2 linked regions of the Pelodiscus sinensis genome follow. The protein of the gene in region 1 purifies or fractionates together with the protein of each later gene. This does not show direct contact. Links are inferred from orthologs where the notes say so. Each region holds a gene or a part of one and is shown on either strand. Other genes may lie near its edges.

Region 1 (8,160 bases):
TTTACAAAGTGCCAAATGCAATAAAGAAGTACTAAGCCAGCAGTAATAGTATAGTAATGGCAAATAAACAGCCTTTCTGCAGGGGACTGGCAAACATTTCCCTTTTCAAAAACAAATCCCCGTACAGAGTCTTAAACAGGCAAATAAACTTGCCAGCTCTGTTTTTCAGTCAAGGCTTTTAAGTACGAGACTGAGGCAAGTTACAGGAGCAGGAAAACCTGCTGCAACTCGTGCAACTTATTTCATTCTTTCAGATGGTTAAGATGTCTCTGGACCTACCTCGACTGCCCTAAATTGCCTGCTTTAAAAAACGGTGATAAAGTGAAAGAGTAGCAAGTGCCCCCTTCTTCACGTGCGTTCTCCTAATCTGACCACCTTCTGTCTCTTTATGAGGCTACTGGGTGGCTAATGGCTACCAGTGGTTTAAACTGCACTACTTGTTCGGTGCACGGGGTTGAGTTCTGTGAAGTGTCACTTTTCAGAAGTGATTTTCATTCAGGGTTACAGTTTCATCAGTCGGACCAAAAAAAAAAAAGCCACAGTGTGACACACTTATATCACCAGTGATGGTCACTGTTAATTACTATCGCCGTGCAGGTGCAACCTGTAACTTTAAAAATTTGCAAAATTACAGTATCTCTACTGTCACTGAGACTGGTCGAGACCTTTGTAATTTGCACACTGTATTCAGACTTCATTTTGAATATGCCTTAAAAAAGATATCTTGCCCCTTTTTCCTTTATTTTTACAGCTGGAGGTATAAAATATTCACTAACTATTCGCAGCTTGGCTTCTTTTGTTTCTTCTGAGATTTTTTTAGGTAAGCAAAAAAAACCCTTAACTTGCTATTTCAATATATACAGAGAAAATATAAGCAGCTAATTCCCCTTGTTTAATTATGAGCAGACCTTTCCCGACTCGTGGTGTAGTCACATTTTGTGGGGGTGTTGTCTCTAGTTTGTTTTACACTCAAAGAAGTTAAAGTGGAATAAGACAACTCCAATTGTATCATGAATCGGTTGCTTTTCCAAAAGTTACAGCCACAATTTTTTTTCCACAGCTCCGCAATAAAATAATGAAGAGAAGGGGTCACAGGACGAAACCAAAAACTGAAAACTTTTCTTGTTGAATGATTGAATTACAGGGGTCACCAATAATCCCCCCCCCCCACGCTCCACACACACACACACACACACTAACGCGCGCACACACACGCCAGGAACCTCACACGCTATTCGAAGGAGAAAGGAAAGAGGTTTCAACATGCAAAAATCTCAACTTTTTCGTAAGATTTCCTTTATGAGCGTATTGTAACCGATAGACTATACAATGCAACGCGTCTAGCTTCTGCCGCCGCAGCAACTGCCAAGACATGCAACTCAAAGAAGAAAGTTTGAAAATGGTCAGATCTAAGCACTGCAAAGCTGCAGCAGTCCAGAAGCGTTAAGGGAAATGCATATTCACATTTGCTAGCGAGTGTAATACAAGAATTTCACAATTAGCCTGAAAGCAGGGATGATGTCCTGGAAGCTTATTTGTTTCCAAATTGTGTTGATGGATCCAGTTTAAAATCAGCTAATGAAATATAGGTACTTTTGCTGTCGTTAAGTTTCACAGAAAAGTAGATCTTTTGCTTTTCCTTTTCTCTGTTCACATTTTCCCCCACTAGTAGACATAAAACCGACGATTGGTTATATATTATGTTATGAAACGTTTCATCTGCCGTTTTCCGGCACAATTTCAGATGGAAAAGAAAGTTGTCATTGAGACACGCATCAACTGGAACTTGCCTATGTTATATACCTCGTCACAACCACAAATAAAAGCCATCCCTTGGATTTAAAAGAAGACTCGAAGACTACTTTTTTTGGCAACTGTTGCAATGAAAATATCATGATCACTGTCAAAAAGGAGAAGATGGAGTGCCTGTAACACAGCCGTATTTATGTCGATTGCTGAGACCCAAGCCGACACAATACAGACCTCGGGCAGCCGAACTGAATGAACTGTAAGTAAAGCGCCTGAAATTATAGCATGCAGACCAACTTCAGCGTGTGATTCCAGACTGACTGCACTGATGGCCCAAATCACTTCTCCCTCTCCCCAACTAACTCCACTTCGGAGGAGTCACGGCCGAACACCACCGCCCTGGGCTAGTGCTGAGACCAAGGGTGTTATTCGGTGTTATTTTTTTAACCCGACCAGAACACTCGATCCGGAGGAGACATAGTGGAAAGTTGCAGGAAAGCACTTGAAGAACGAAACCGTGCGGCCTCGTTGCGCAGCGCGGGATCCCCAGCGCCCTGCTACCTCGCGCCTTCAGAGAGATCCGGCGCGAGTCTGTTTGCACCTTTGCCCAGCGCAGGGCGAGTTTAACTTACGCTAAAACCACAGGCATCCCAATCTGCTCAACCAGCCTTGCCCTCTGTCACTCGGGGCGCGCTGCCTTTGACAGCTGCTGCAACGCTGCACCCAGGACAGAAACGGGAAAATTCCCCCCACAGCTTCCCCTTTCCTGGGTGCCTAGGAAGGGGGCGGGGGGCCCCCATTAGTGCAGAGTTCCCAGCTGATCCTTCAACTAAAATAATGAAATAATAATAAAATAAAATCATGACTTTCTGCGCCTCCTCCCTACCACCAATGCAAGAGGAGAAGGAGCCCGGGCGCTTCCTGGGCTCACAAGTCGCAACCACACACCTCAGTGTGGAGAAAACGGTGGGGGGGGGGGGTCGGAGCTGGAAGGTCCCTGACCCGCCCTCCTTCGCAAAGTTCCGCTAGGTACAAGTGCAGAGCACGAGCTAGGACGCCCTCCTGGGAGAGAGCGAGCCCTTGCGCCCTCTCTCCCCCCCACCTGCCTAGACTCCCCTGCTTTGCCGGCTGGTAGCTCGGAGTAAGACCTGCCGCCTAACTCCCCCCCCCCCCCCCTTTCTCCGGACACCCCTCCCCTCCTGCGCTTGCAGAGAGCCGACAGCGCCCACTAGGGTCCTAGCTCCTCCTCGCAGCCCCGGCGGCAGCAGCCACCGCTCAACTTCCAGCGCTCGCCTCTGAACTTTTCCTCAACTCCTTCTCCGCCTCCCTGCGCCTCCGCAGCCAGCCCCAGCTGCCGGGCAGCGCCTCCGCAGCGACCCCGCAGCCTCCCCCTCTCTCTAGACAAGCACCCCCTCCAGACCAGCGATCTGCCTGCTGGGGGGCTGCCTGCAATTCTCCTCCCCCCCTCCACCCCGCCTCTCCCCAAGCCTGACCCCGCGCCCGCTGTCCCCGCCGCTGCGCCGCTCCCGGGGATGCGCGCCCGGCTGGGCTCAGGAGCAGGGGTGCTGGGGCTGGAATGTTGCAGGTTGCTTTGCGCCCCCATCCCGGCGCATCAGCCATTCCATGCAACATGGCAGAGCGCGGGTGAAAAGCCAATGGAAAGGGATATTGCACCTACTTGTGGCCAGTTTCCTTGCCCTGCCTTTGGATCTCATGTTGCCAGTCCCGCGCCGCTGTTTTGGTGGGTGGGGGTAGGGGGGGTCCTCTTGGATCTTTTCCTCCTTTTTCTCCCCCTCTCTCTCTCTCACTCTCTCTCACACACACTCTCTTTCTCTCAATCCAGGCTCGCTATCTCTCCAGCATTGTCAGTTTGGACACCTTCGCACATGCGCACGGGCTGCTCCCCCCCACCACCACTCTTCAACATCTCAGCGCCGCCAAAAAAAGTTTGGAGCGATCTATCACTTTGATTTCAGGATCTTGTCAGATGGCAATCGGCGGAGGGAGGAGGCCTCCCGAGGAATGGAGCGAGGACACCTCTTCTTCTCCAATAAAAACAACCTGGCCAGGGAGATCCAGTCGCAAACAGCCAGATGCCTGGATTCTTCTTTATTCCGCCATCAACTCCACCCAGTTCCTAGCCATTATTATTATTAATTAATAAACCAGCATCGGGATAGCGCATCTAGAGCTTTTTCCTGTCCTGATCTGCTCGGCAATGGGTTCTGAGCCACTTGCCATTTACTCTGTGGGAGGCGGGGGAGGCAGATTATTCATAACAGAAGAAATCTCCCTGTTCCAGAGTTTGAGAGTAGAATAAATGGCTCTTTTTCTAACTTTTGATGTAATATTAATGATACTTTGCAACATTTCACTCGTTTACTCCTACCCTGTCGCAATCATCATAGATTTGTGGATATACACAGACACAGATGTAATTCAACTGTGTATTTTATGTAGGCATGTAATTAAATTATATACTCTTCCAAACTCTCACACACCGTCTCGCACCTTCAGTTGAGTTCAATTTTCACCCGCTGGGTAAAAAAGGCACTTTAGAAATAACCCACATTGTTTAAATCTGTTTTAATTACAGGGTTTTCCAATCAACAAGGGGACACGCTGAAACTGGGAACTCCTGTAAGGGGTGGCTCTGTTCAAGGTATGAATCAATCCAAACTACATAGATTTTCCTCTGGTACAACCTCCTTGCATTAAACAGTTTTGTTCAATACAGTCTATCCGCTATTTATGTTCCCATTAATATCTGTTGCAAATCCTGCCAGACACCATAAAAGAAAATTACAATCTTTCAGACTCGGTACTGTGCCAGTACATACATGCTGCTCAAGTTTTGGTTTTAATAAAATCTTAAGCATCACTCTCTCTTTACAAAAAAAAAAATCCTGCTGGTGTTCACTGTCAGAATCATGGCCATTTTAGGATGAAATAACACCTCTCTCTGCAGCTCTGCCGTAAGCTTACAATAGCCAACAGGATATAACCCTGCAGATCACAATGACCTTAATGAAGAGGTGTTTGTTTTAGAAACAACCACTGAACTTTGTTTAGATCATGGCAGCAAATTTCGGAACGCTACGAGCCTTTGTCCATTCCACAGAAACGTATTCACCCAACACCTGGATGATACACACACGCACGAAACAAACTGAAATTAACGATGGGCAAAGGGAATCTCTCATATGAAACACTACCCCACTTCACCTCCCCTCTCCAAATGAGGCACAAATATTTGGAATCCCATTGGAGAGCGTATTTCTTGAGCCTCATAATTATTATAGATAAAAAAGCAGCTTTTTGTGTAGGGGAAATTCAGTAATCTAGAGGGAGGACTAATAAAGCCCGACCCCTCTGTAGGAGAAAGCCGAGTGTGGGGTGAAGGAAAGAGGAGCCTCTTCTTGGTAAGGCAAGCTTAGCACACCAAGCTGCACTACCGCAGAACTTCAACAAAAGTAGCTATAAAACGACTCAACTTCTGTACTTCTCTCCTCCTCCCTCTGCAGTCACCTGTTTATTGCCCTGCTTCCCCACCCACCCCCCACTCGTGGTGTAACCGAGAAACTCAAAAGCAACATCACCCGACGCGCACCCTGCTTGGGTCTGTGCCCCGCAGCCTTGCCAGTCCATGAGGTATGGCACGCTAGGAAGCGGGGCATTCAGAACATTTCTTACCGGCTAGTCCGCCGGGAGAGCCACAGTGACTCACCCACCTACCCGCAATGTCGGTGTCTAGTGGGGAGTATGGAGGGGGGGGGGTGTAGTGTGTGTGCTGTAATGATTTTCCTCGTCTGACCTCTATTTAGGAATGATTGGAAATACTTTGGTTCCCAGGTGAAAGGATATGAAGTGATACCCGGTGGATTAACTGATCAGCTCAACAAAAGGTTATTATGGAAAGCATTGGGCTGGGAGTACAGCCCACAAGGGGTGGGGGAACCGGGCAGGGAGAACAAACTAATTAATTCTGGAAAAGAAGAAAAAAACGTTTAGGCTCTCTGTCACTAAACCTCCTTCCTTCTCTATCAGACATGGTTTTCTGTCGGATTCTTAAAAAGAGTTTCTTATAAAGATGAATAAGCGAACTCAAATTCGAAACCTCGTCGAGCATGTCTAAGAACGTTAACAAACTTTTTTTAGCAACACCCCCCAACGTAACTGTCCATTGTGAAGTATATTTCACTAGCTTTTCTCTGAGATCCAAAACATCACGAACACAACCAAAACAGTAAACTATCACTTGCTTTGCAGACTTACTGCGATTATTTAAACAACCTCTTGGCCCCTCGCAGCACATCTGCGCAAGAAAAGTAAGCGTCTGTATTTATACATCTTCCTGTGACATATATATTTATTCAACATATTTTAAACCGAAGACAGATATAACCTCTTTTTAGCACTTAGTTCTCTTGACCTTGGAAGACACCAGCTCTTACTCGCTAAACGCCATAGCTTGTCAGTTTCACCTGTTTAAAGTCCCAAGCGACCACAAGACCCCGAACAGGTGTCTCTCTGTGTTCCCGAATACCCAGCAAACATCTAGATTTTCATTTCGGTTGCATCAAACAGCTTTTCTGATGACTGGTCTCTCTGTCAGTAGCAGGCAGAACTTTCATAAAGTTTATCACCCTCCCAAAGAATTCCCTGGTAGACCCACTAGAAATCCGTTTCATTTCGGTTAGTCACGTTTTTAAGAGTTTCTAGCTCTCAATTCCCTTCACGTTGGAAAATGGGCACCTAGTGGATAGTAAAATTGTTGAGTGTATGTGTTTGTAGTAGAATCAGAGCCACGAAAAAAATATTTAAAAAAAGAGGGATGAAATCTATTTTAATACACGCTGAGAGTGTGGGGGAAAGCAACCCTCACGTTTCAATGTATTCCATATAACAGGAAATTTTCCCTTCCTCACATAATTGAATAAGCTCCTCCGTCTATTTGGAGGCAAGTTGGAATTCTTCATCGAGGTATTTGTTGTGCTATTATTGTCTTTGTGCAGTGAACTTTACATCGTGTGATTCAGTCTCAACCTATATTCTCCTAGCTACCAGTAAGATTAATTTAATCATTGTAATGCAATTATTAATACTGTTTACCCAACGCTTGATTTCTGCTTTGCTGTTAAGAAATTAAACCTCTTGCTGGGTGACCAAAAAGCTATGCAGGGGTTTTCAGTGCTTGTTGAAATGAAACAGTCCTCTTTATTTAGTCTCAGAACTCAGCTTTCAGCCATGGGTTCAATTAGCCAAAATGGAAACAATTTTTATTCATTGCAATAACTCACTGTTCTGCAGATCACTTTCAAAATATACACTTTATTATTATATGCTGGCCTCGATGCCGTGAAGTGGCAAGGCTAGAAAGAGGCAGAGGGATCTCTCTAGCCCCCTTGGGCTGTAATTATTAGAAATTAATTGGGTTCAAGACCCTGGGAAGCATGGATAAATTAATAGCTTGTCTGGTTGTTTAAATCCGAATTCTCAGTCCACAGGAGAAAAGGGGAGGGAGACTCACAAACGTGAAATTCAGACCCAGGAGACTATGAGTTTACTTGCAAGTTCCGTATCTATTAAACACTAATGTACAGAATACATTGCCGTGCGGAGGGAGGGGAGTGAAAGAGCTGGGTGTGTAATGGAGACGAGGAGAGTTTATTTTCTTGCCATTTTCTCCAACGCATTGTTTTCGGGGAGCGATTTAGGGGTTAAAATAAAAAAAATAAAGATCCCGTATACTTGGAGCTGTCGTGCTGGAGTAAAAGTGAAAAGGGAGCCTTAGGCAAAAGGAAATTACTGCAAGCCCGCGTGACCTTTCAGAGAGGTAATCAATCAAGTGATCAACAGGGATATTTATCATTGCTGGATGGGGCTACTTTACAAAAGCACAGAAAAGGGGGGAAAGAGACACACACACGAAAGTTTGGATAAACCCGATATGCCTAAAGACAAATACGTAGGCTTTAATCAATGGGCAGATTGCACTTTTTCCCCTTGTCTGGTATTCTAAAAAGAAAGGAAAACACTAGGAGTTTCCCAGTGGAAAATGCCTGCTTCATTAGATGTCCGCTTTAAGCTGTCTGCTTTGCTTTAAAACAGTGGGAAAGGCTGGCTTAAAATATCCAAACAAGAGAAAAATAATATAATAGGATTAAGACTGTGCTACCTTAGTAGTGTGTTAAAACATGTGCCTTTATTTACTTCTCTGAGATTGGAGAAATTGCATCGGGGAACGCGATCTTTTCTGGTTTTAAGTTCTCTCCCCTAATGGTTACTTTTCAAACAATAAAACAAACAAAAAAGTCCCGAGCTATATGGAATCGGCGATCTCGTTCAATTAAACTTTCACTCCATGTCGGCATAAAGCGCTCACCTCAATGAAAAGCAACATTAAAAGCA
Region 2 (8,370 bases), on another chromosome or scaffold:
GGCTGTTCCCAGATGCCCCACCCCAGAGGAAGTTGCATCTCAGTGCCAGGTGAGCCATCCCCTTAGAGCAATATGTGCAGCTCTTCCCCAGCTGTTCTGCCTCGGAGACGGCGACATTTCAGCACTAGGAAACCCATTCCTGTGTGGCCTGTGTGTGGCTGCTGTCCCACCCAAGCAGTGGCTGCATCGCAGTGCCAGGCAGGCCCCCGTTTCATGACATTGGGTGCAGCTGTCCCCTGGCCGCCCCACCCAATAGGTGGCTGCCTGGAGCTCCCTACCTCTCCCACGTACTCCATGACGAAGCTGTTCTTGCGGATCGTCTCCAGGGTGCGCACGCCCCAGCCACGCCCGTTGGCGGTGCGGAAGATGCACAGGTCGTAGCGGATGCCCCGCTGCACCACACGGTTGGAGCACTCTGCCCCGCAGCGGCACCGAGAGTTGCACTCGTAGATGGGCAGCCCCGCCCGGATGCGGACCTGGCCCAGCTCGTTGTAGGCGAACTTGTGGTGGGAGGCACCGGGGCAGCAACAGCCGGCGGCGGCCTCGGCCAGACAGTTGCGACACTCGCAGCCCACCGCCACCTGGGTGAGGGAGATGCCCTCGCCCACCTTGTACTCGTTGATGTAGATGAAGTCCCGGGGTGGCCCGTCCAGATCCACCTCGTTTTCCACCACGATGTGCCCCTTGTGGTTGCGCTTGGCGTTCAGTTGGCGCTCCCAGTGCCGCAGGGCCCGCCGCTGCTTGGCCTTCTGCACCACGTAGTTGGCCACGCCCTGGTCCAGCCAACGGGCATTCTTCTTGGGCTTGCCGTCCCGCCGGATCCAGGCCTGCTCCAGGTCCTTGTGGAACTGCTTCAGCAGGCCCATGCAGTGCAGGTTCTTCCGCGGCTCCCAGGTGTTCTCGGACTCTGGGTAACCACGCCACTTCACCAGGTAGAACTCCTCCTCCTGCCAGCAGAGCCCCCATCAGCCAGGCCCTCTCTCGGGGTGGAACCCGGGCTCCCAGCTTCCGGCTCCCCTCCCAGAGCCAGGGAGAGAATCCAGGAGTCCTGGCTCCTGGCCATCCCCCCGTGCACACACACTGTTCTAACCACTGGACACCCCCCAGAGAGAAGCTAGGAATTTTAGATGGCTTCCACAGGGTCTTTACCAGACACACTCCAGCACCCGGCTGTTTATGCACCAGGCCTGTCTCAGAGCCCACCCAGCGGAGGTAGAGAGAGGAAGGTGCAGGCAGAATCAGTCCCAGGCAGCGCCATGTGTTTGGGGGTGCCAGGCAGAGGGGGTGAGAATGAGAAGGGTGCTGGAGGAGGAGATCAGAGACAGAACACTGGTAGGCAGAGGGGAGCAGGATGGGGGGGGGGGGCCCAAGGGAAGGAGATTGTGCTGCATGAGAAATCAGGAGTAGAGGAGGATCCTACCAAGGGTGGGGGGTAAGAACTGGCGGCTCAGGGGAAGGGGATCTGGACTATGACGGGGAACTCAAGGCTAGAAGAGCTGGGCTGTGGGGGAGATTGCAAGCAGGGGTTTCTAAACTCTGGGAGTGATCCGGGCTATAGGGTGGGGAAACTGGAGGCTGGAGGATACAGGCTGAAAGGGGAAGGAAAGTATGGGAGGGGGAACTGAACACAGAGGTTTCTGGGGATCTGGGTTTAAGGGCAGGAATTAGAGACAGGGAAATCCAGGCTGCTGGGGGTGGAAACTGGAGACAGGGGGATTGGAGGTAGGGGGAATCCGGGCTGCCGGCGAGAGGGTGGGGGAGGAACAGGGAATCTGGGCTGCCCGAAGGGCGGGGGGGGTGAGGAATTAGAGATAGGGGGAATCCAGGCTGCCGGGGTGGGGGCAAGACAATTGGAGGTGGGAGGAATCCAGTCAGGGGAGAGGAATTGGAGGCCGGCTGCAGTGGGAATTGGATGTGGGGGTTTCTGGGCTCTCGGGGGAATCCAAGCTGCGGAGGGGAATTGGAGTCGGGAGATCTGGGCTGTGGGGCGAAAGAATCAGAGGCAAGAAAGAGTGAGGCTGCGGAGGGGAATTGGAAGCAGGGGGTCGGGCTGCAGGAGTGTGGGGCTTTCCCTGCTGCAGGGGTGGGGATCCTGGAAGGGATCGGGGTTGCGGGCTGGCAGACGGACTCACCCGCACTCTCTTGTAGTCGCACAGGAACTCCACCTCGAACTGGCTGAGGTTCCTGCGCGTGATGCCCAGCGAGGGGCAGCAAACCCTCTCCAGCCGGCACAGGTCCTGCAGCTGCGACCACGAGGACTTGCAGTATACGACACAGCCTGCGGGCACAAGGGACGACTAGGGGGCTGGTACTGTCCTGGCAGGGAGGGAGCCCAGGGCTGGGGTTGTAGGGAGCTGCAGGTTGGGTGTGAGGGGCCGGGGCAGGGGGAGCGGCTCACCCATGCAGAGCACGTGGTTAGCATGAGCGCCCAGGGAGAGGTCGCCGTGCCTAGTGAGTACTGGTGTGAGCATCTGCTGGGGGTCAAGGGTTCACCCACATCAAGGTGTGGCCGGGCGGCTGGTCTGAGCATCCAGGAGGTGGCCACCCCGTATCCAAAGGTCTGTGGGTGTCCAGGGGCTCACACCATCCTGGGGCTGGTGTGACCGTCCGGAAAAGTCAGTCTGAGTGTCTGGGGATGGATTGCCTTGTGCCAGGGCGTGAGCGTCCACGGCAGGTCACCCCAAACCAGGGGGCTGGCACAAGCACACGGGGCATCAACCCATGTCGGGGCAGGTGTGTGCCCAGAGGGGTCGCACCGTGTCAGGGTTAGTGTGAGTGTACCGGGGGGGGGGGGGGCAGGTTGGGGTGGGCGGGAGCATACGGGGGGGATGCGACAGGTCGGGAGCGTACGGGGGGGGTTGCCAGGTTCAGGGGGGTGTGGGAGCGTATGGGGGGGGTTGCCAGGTTCGGGGGGGTGGGAGCGTACGGGGGGGGTTGCCAGGTTCGGGGGGGGCGGGAGCGTACGGGGGGGTTGCCAGGTTCGGGGGGGGTAGCGTACGGGGGGGTTGCCAGGTTCGGGGGGGGCGGGAGCGTACGGGGGGGGTTGCCAGGTTCGGGGGGGGTAGCGTACGGGGGGGTTGCCAGGTTCGGGAGGGGGGTTGCCAGGTCGGGGGGGGGCAGCAGCGTACGGGGGGCTGGAGCACATGGGGGGGCAATGCCAGCCTGCCAGGCAGGGGTGCCCTGTGCCAGGAAGTGAGGGGGCCCCTCGGGGCCCCTGCGGGTCACGTGCGCCCCTCCCCCCGCCCACTACAGGCTGCCTGGTTTCCCGCCCTGCGCGCGAGCAGCAGCCCCGCGCCCGTTCCAGTCGCGCGCGCGCTCAGACTCGCCCCTGCCCCCCCCCCTTTAACGGTCGCCGCGGGCCGCCTCGCGCGCGGGGAAAGAAGGCGGGGGGGGGGTGGGGAGAGACTCTCGCGCCGCAACTCGTAGCAGCCCCCCTCCCTGCGCCGCCCCCTCCCGCCGCGCGCCCTGCTCGGCCTCGCGCCACGCTCCGCGCGCGCCGGCTTCCCTCGCTCACCTTTTAAATTTTCCGCCATCTTTTTTTTTTCCCCCTGCAGCCACTGGGGCCGCCCGAAACTTTTCCTCCCAGGGGGCGTGGCCGAAGCGCGGGGGGGAGGGGAGAGCGACGTGCCCCGCCCCCTCCACCGCGGGCGTTCTTATTGGGTGGCCGACCTGACTGACGTGCCCGCCAGCCAATGGCCGCCGGAGGCCCCGGCAGCGGGCCTCATTTGCATCTCCCACAGTGCCCCGCGCCGCCGTGCACCCTCACGACTCGCGGAAATGGCCCCAAAGGCACCAAATTAACCCGTTTTCTCCCAGTGCGAGTCACAGGCCGCCATGCGGGGCCAGCCCGACGCCACGCAGGGTGGGGAAGGGAGAGAAAGGTCCTCACCCTAGCCTAGAAGTGTCTCCCCAGCCCTAAACACCATGTCCCCTCTCCCCCACAATGCAATTCTCCTCAGCCAATGAGGGTCCCTGGCACTAGTGGGGGATGGGGGCTGGTGTCACCCATGCGCCAACGTCAATTGGGGGGGCTGGTGTCACCCATGCGCCGACGTCAATGCTGGGGGGGGGCGGTTGGTGTCACCCATGCGCCAACGTCAATGCTGGGGGGGGGCGGTTGGTGTCACCCATGCGCCAACGTCTATGCTGGGGGGGGGAGGCTGGTGTTACCCAGGCACCAACGTGGTGGTGGGGAAGCTGGCATAACCCATGCGCCAATATCAGTGCTGGGAGGGAAGGTTGATGTCACCCATGCGCCAACGCCAATGCTGGGTCCCCAGGCATCACCAGCAAGGTGCCAATGACAAGGCTGGGGAAAGGGTGAGAAACTCCAACACCAATGACAAAAGCCACCTTGGGAGCCGGAGGTGCGCGGGGGGGGGGGGGGGGGGTTCCAAGTGCTTGGCTCCCGGGCTGGCACTCTGAGCTGTTGCCCAGTCATGGGAAAGGAAAAACCTGGTTGGGTGGTTTTGCAGGGTGGGGCGCAAGGCCTGGTAAAACTAGACAGGAAAGGCCCCCCCCTGCCTCGTTCGCCAGTTCTGTGCCCCACCCCAGAAGCGGCTGCATCCCTCCGCCAGCCAAGCGAATGCCCCGTGCTTTGGGATTGCTGCCATGAAAGCAACTGGAGAAACAATTGATGGTAACTGTGTTTAATAAAAATCAAAGGAGCAACAATCGTTTTGTCTGGCTCAGTCTGCAGAGGGAGCCTGCAGCAAGACGACCCTTAAAGGTTAAAGCAACAGGGACAATAAACCCCTATTAAACAAATCAAAATTCATAGGCTTTTGATGGGTAAATCCCAGTCAATGTCCATTTCACCCACACACACAACCCCAGGGGGAAAGGCGCTTCTATTAATAACTGTCAAAACAGAGAGCTAGGCAAAGAAAAAACAAACCTGGCTGCTTGAGAACATGGTTGAATGTGAGCTGAGGCTATTGACTCAGCATTTGGGTGAAGGGTTTTTAAGCTTTCACTTTTCCATCTCAAACCCTCTAGGAAATCATTATTGCCTGACTCCCCCTCCCCACCCGCCTTCGAACTAACCGCGAGACGAGCCGTCAAACTGACGGAAAAGTAAAAGTCGAGATCCGAAACCAAATTAAAAACTCCATGGCGGCCAAGCCTTGAGATGAACAAGCCATAATTCACAAGCAATAAAACTAGGCGCTAGCTTTGCAGCTGCTCTGGGTGACAGTCGAAATGGAGATTATGTTTTTTTATGGCCCTCAGTGGCGTGGAAAATTCACCCCCGTTACCAAGCCGGCCTAAGCCCGCTTGGTAACGGGGGTGTGGAGGCGGCTAAGGATTCTTCCTTCCACCTCGCTACCGTCGCTCGGCAATCAGACCCTTTCAACGGGCTGTTGGAAGCGTCACCGCTCCTCCTGATCAAAGTCTCTTGTTTCCAGTCCTATCCCTCGGACACTGACCCAAACCAGCGGGTTTCAATCCCCCCTGAAGCCTGCACTGTTGACCCCTGGCGGCCGCCTGAGCCCCACATATCGGTGGCTCGGTTCCAGCTTGGCTTGTTTTTTAGGATTGGGTTGAGATGGAATCATGGAGCCAAGCGGGAAGGTGATGGGTTGGGTTGTTTCTGACACCAAAGAGGCCAGTGGAAACTGGGTTTGAAGGGGTGACAGGCGTGGAAGGGGGAGGCTGGGGGGATTCTGGGTAAAAGACGGGGCAGCCCACATCAGGCGAGAGCTGTCTTTATTAAAAAAGGGGCCAGGCGGGCACGGGAATCCCAGAGGCGAGGGGGCGGCATTGGTCTGTGGGAGGGGGTGCAGAAAAGGGGGGGGTTCCTGCAGCGGGGGCTCAGTCGTCCCATTCATCATCCTCATCCTCGTCCCCTCCGTTGTCCTCGCCTTCGTCTGCGGGAGGAAGAGGAGGGTGAGCGGGTGCAGGGGGCGGGGCGGGGGGAGGAGGGGGCCCCCGTGGCAGGTTGGGGCGACTCACCCGAGGAGTGGATCACTTTGCTCCGTTTCTGCATGACGTGCATGAGCGCCCCCACCAGGCCCTCGGAGCTCTGCGCGGGCGGCGGGGAGTCCAGCATCTCGGGGGTCTGCAAGGCAGGGGGGTCAGGGCCCGCAGCACCCATCCCCTGACCCCGCCACCCCGGCACTGCCGACCCCCTGCCACTTCCCCCACCCTCACCCAAAGCCTCCTCTAACTCCCCCCTCATCGCCCCACACAGCCAGCCGCCCCCTCCCCACCCTGCTCCCCTCAGTCCATATCCCACCCCGTCCTCTACTCCCTTAGCCCCCCATCGCCTCCTTCCCCACTCCCAGCCATCCCCCCACCCCTCACTTTTTCCATCCCTGCCCCCCATCACCTAACTCATCTCCCCTCTTCCCTTCCCTCATCCTGCCCCCCGTCTGCCCCACAGCCCACCCCACTCACCTTGTTGAGCTGGATGCCTTGGCGGATCTGGTCCAGCAGGGCCCCACGTCCCTTTGGGGCAGTAGGGGCCTGAACCCCGGGGGAGCTGAGCCCCCCTGAGGGAGGTGGGGGAGGAGGACAAGGTCCTGAAGAGACAGGAGGTGGAGGGGGTGGCGGGGGAGGTGGGGGTGGAGGAGCTGCCCCAGCAGGGGGCGGAGGAGGTGGGGGACCAGACCGGGAAGAAGGGGGAGGGGGCCCACGAGGGGGAGGCAGTTGTCCCCTGGGGGGCTGGGAGGGAACAGCCCCCCTGTTTGGTGCAGATGAGGGGGGCGGGGGGGCACCTGGAATGGGGGGCAATGGGCCAGACCTGCCCCTTCCTGAGGCTGGGGGTGGGGGGGGAAGGGGCCCAGACCGAGTCGGGGGAGGCGGAGGAGGTGCCGGACCTGTGGGGAGAAATAGCTGCAATTAAAACGAGGCCCTTCGCCCCACACCAAATCCCCTGAGGATTCCAAAGCGCCACATGGGGAGACTGAGATGCAGCCACCGCTGGGGCAGGGCAGAGGGAGAAAGGCTGCATATAACGCCAACCCCGAGAGGCAGCCCCCTCTGGGGAAGAGGAGCTGGGGAAAAGCGGCCGCATTTCATGTCCCAAAGGGAGGGCTCACCCTGGCGTCGAAGCTCCTCCTTCACAGCCTCCAGCCCGCCTTGGCCCTCGATGAAATCGTAGATGATCTTGGAGGTCTCTGCGTCGGTCAGCTGCGCCTCGCTGATCCCAGCCTGGGAGAAGAGCGTCTTCAGGTCGGGGTCCAGGTTATTCACCTAGGAGAGACACATGGAGAGGAAATCCAGAGACAGGCGATTGATGGATCATGCCTTAAATTAGCCCCGCCCTGTAGCCAGCACTAGGCCCCAGGCACCCCCTCATTCTGACCCCCTAAAATCCTGACCTCCGAAATGCAGCAGGCAGCTGGGGCTGTTCCTGAAAGGATCCAACTGGAAAGTTATGGCAGCTGTCCCACCCCAGAGCTGGCTTCATCTCCGTGCCAAGCAAGCCGTCCCCATGGTGTGTTATATGCAGCTGTTCCCAGCTGCCCTGCCCCAGAGATGGCTGCATCTCAGCGCCAGGGGAGCCTTCCCCATGTGGTTTTATATGGGGCTGATCCCAGTTGTCCCAGCCAAGAGGTGGTTGCATTTCAGCACCAGGTGAGCCTGCCCCAGGTGGTGTTATATAGGAGTGTTGCCACCCAGCCTACCCCAGTGGTGGCTGCATCTCAGCATCAGACGGGCCATCCCCTTGCGAAGTCTCGTGCCCAGATTATTGGCCGCTGCCTCCGAGGGCCGACAAAACACGGGGCCATCCACAGCCCCAAGCTGTGACACTCCACAGGCCTTCTGTTAATTCCCAACTGAGCCCCACGGAACCCATCCCATCTGGAGTCCAAAAACATCGGGGGGCTAGGACCAGGCCTTGCGCCAGCCGGATCCTGCTACCTGCAGCAGCGCCCCCAGCTGGCTGCGCCTTGCCCTTGTCCCGAGGGCATGCTCTAACCTGGCCGCTGCCAAGAATAGCCATGCTGCCAGTCCCCCAGTGCCTTGGGGGTAGGCTCAGAGCCAGGGATCTGCCCCTAAGGACAGGCAAAGATGCATGGGGAGAAAAAGATGTGTTTGGAAAAGGAGGGGGCACAGGGAGGCAGTATCTTAGGCAGTCCGGGCTCAAGTGAACTGCACGTTTGCTCCCCTAATGCTCCATGGGGATGACTCCCCATGCACTGAGTTGCAGCCACCTCTGGGGTGGGGCAGTTGGGGAACAGCTGCACATAACGCTGCTTTGGGATAGCTGATCTGACGCTAAGATGCAGCCACTTCAGGGGCAGAGCAGCAGGGGAACAGCCATGCACATCAATTGAAGCACAGTCACCCAGCACATCAAGTCCGGTAGTCACAAACACGAGGGAACACCCTTTCACTCCCTCCCCCCCATGCACAAACATT

Evidence for each region.
Region 2: the proteins of MECOM (region 1) and SUV39H1 purify together in Homo sapiens (affinity purification with western blotting; 3 studies listed by BioGRID). This does not show direct contact. The link is inferred for Pelodiscus sinensis from reciprocal best matches to the Homo sapiens genes MECOM and SUV39H1.

Annotation. Positions count from the first base shown.
Region 1 is NC_134720.1:38,257,078-38,265,237, forward strand, and holds the start of MECOM (histone-lysine N-methyltransferase MECOM), read right to left. Parts: upstream 3,599-8,160; 5' UTR 3,465-3,598; coding exon 3,428-3,464; intron 1,170-3,427; exon of another isoform or gene 1,061-1,169; intron 821-1,060; exon of another isoform or gene 752-820; intron 1-751.
Region 2 is NW_027466045.1:208,720-217,089, reverse strand, and holds the start of SUV39H1 (histone-lysine N-methyltransferase SUV39H1), read right to left. Parts: upstream 3,665-8,370; 5' UTR 3,534-3,664; coding exon 3,515-3,533; intron 2,279-3,514; coding exon 2,133-2,278; intron 948-2,132; coding exon 279-947; intron 1-278. Other genes in the region: actin nucleation-promoting factor WAS, read right to left, coding at 5,815-5,870, 5,956-6,061, 6,400-6,821, 7,044-7,197. UniProt on the Homo sapiens protein: Histone methyltransferase that specifically trimethylates 'Lys-9' of histone H3 using monomethylated H3 'Lys-9' as substrate. Also weakly methylates histone H1 (in vitro).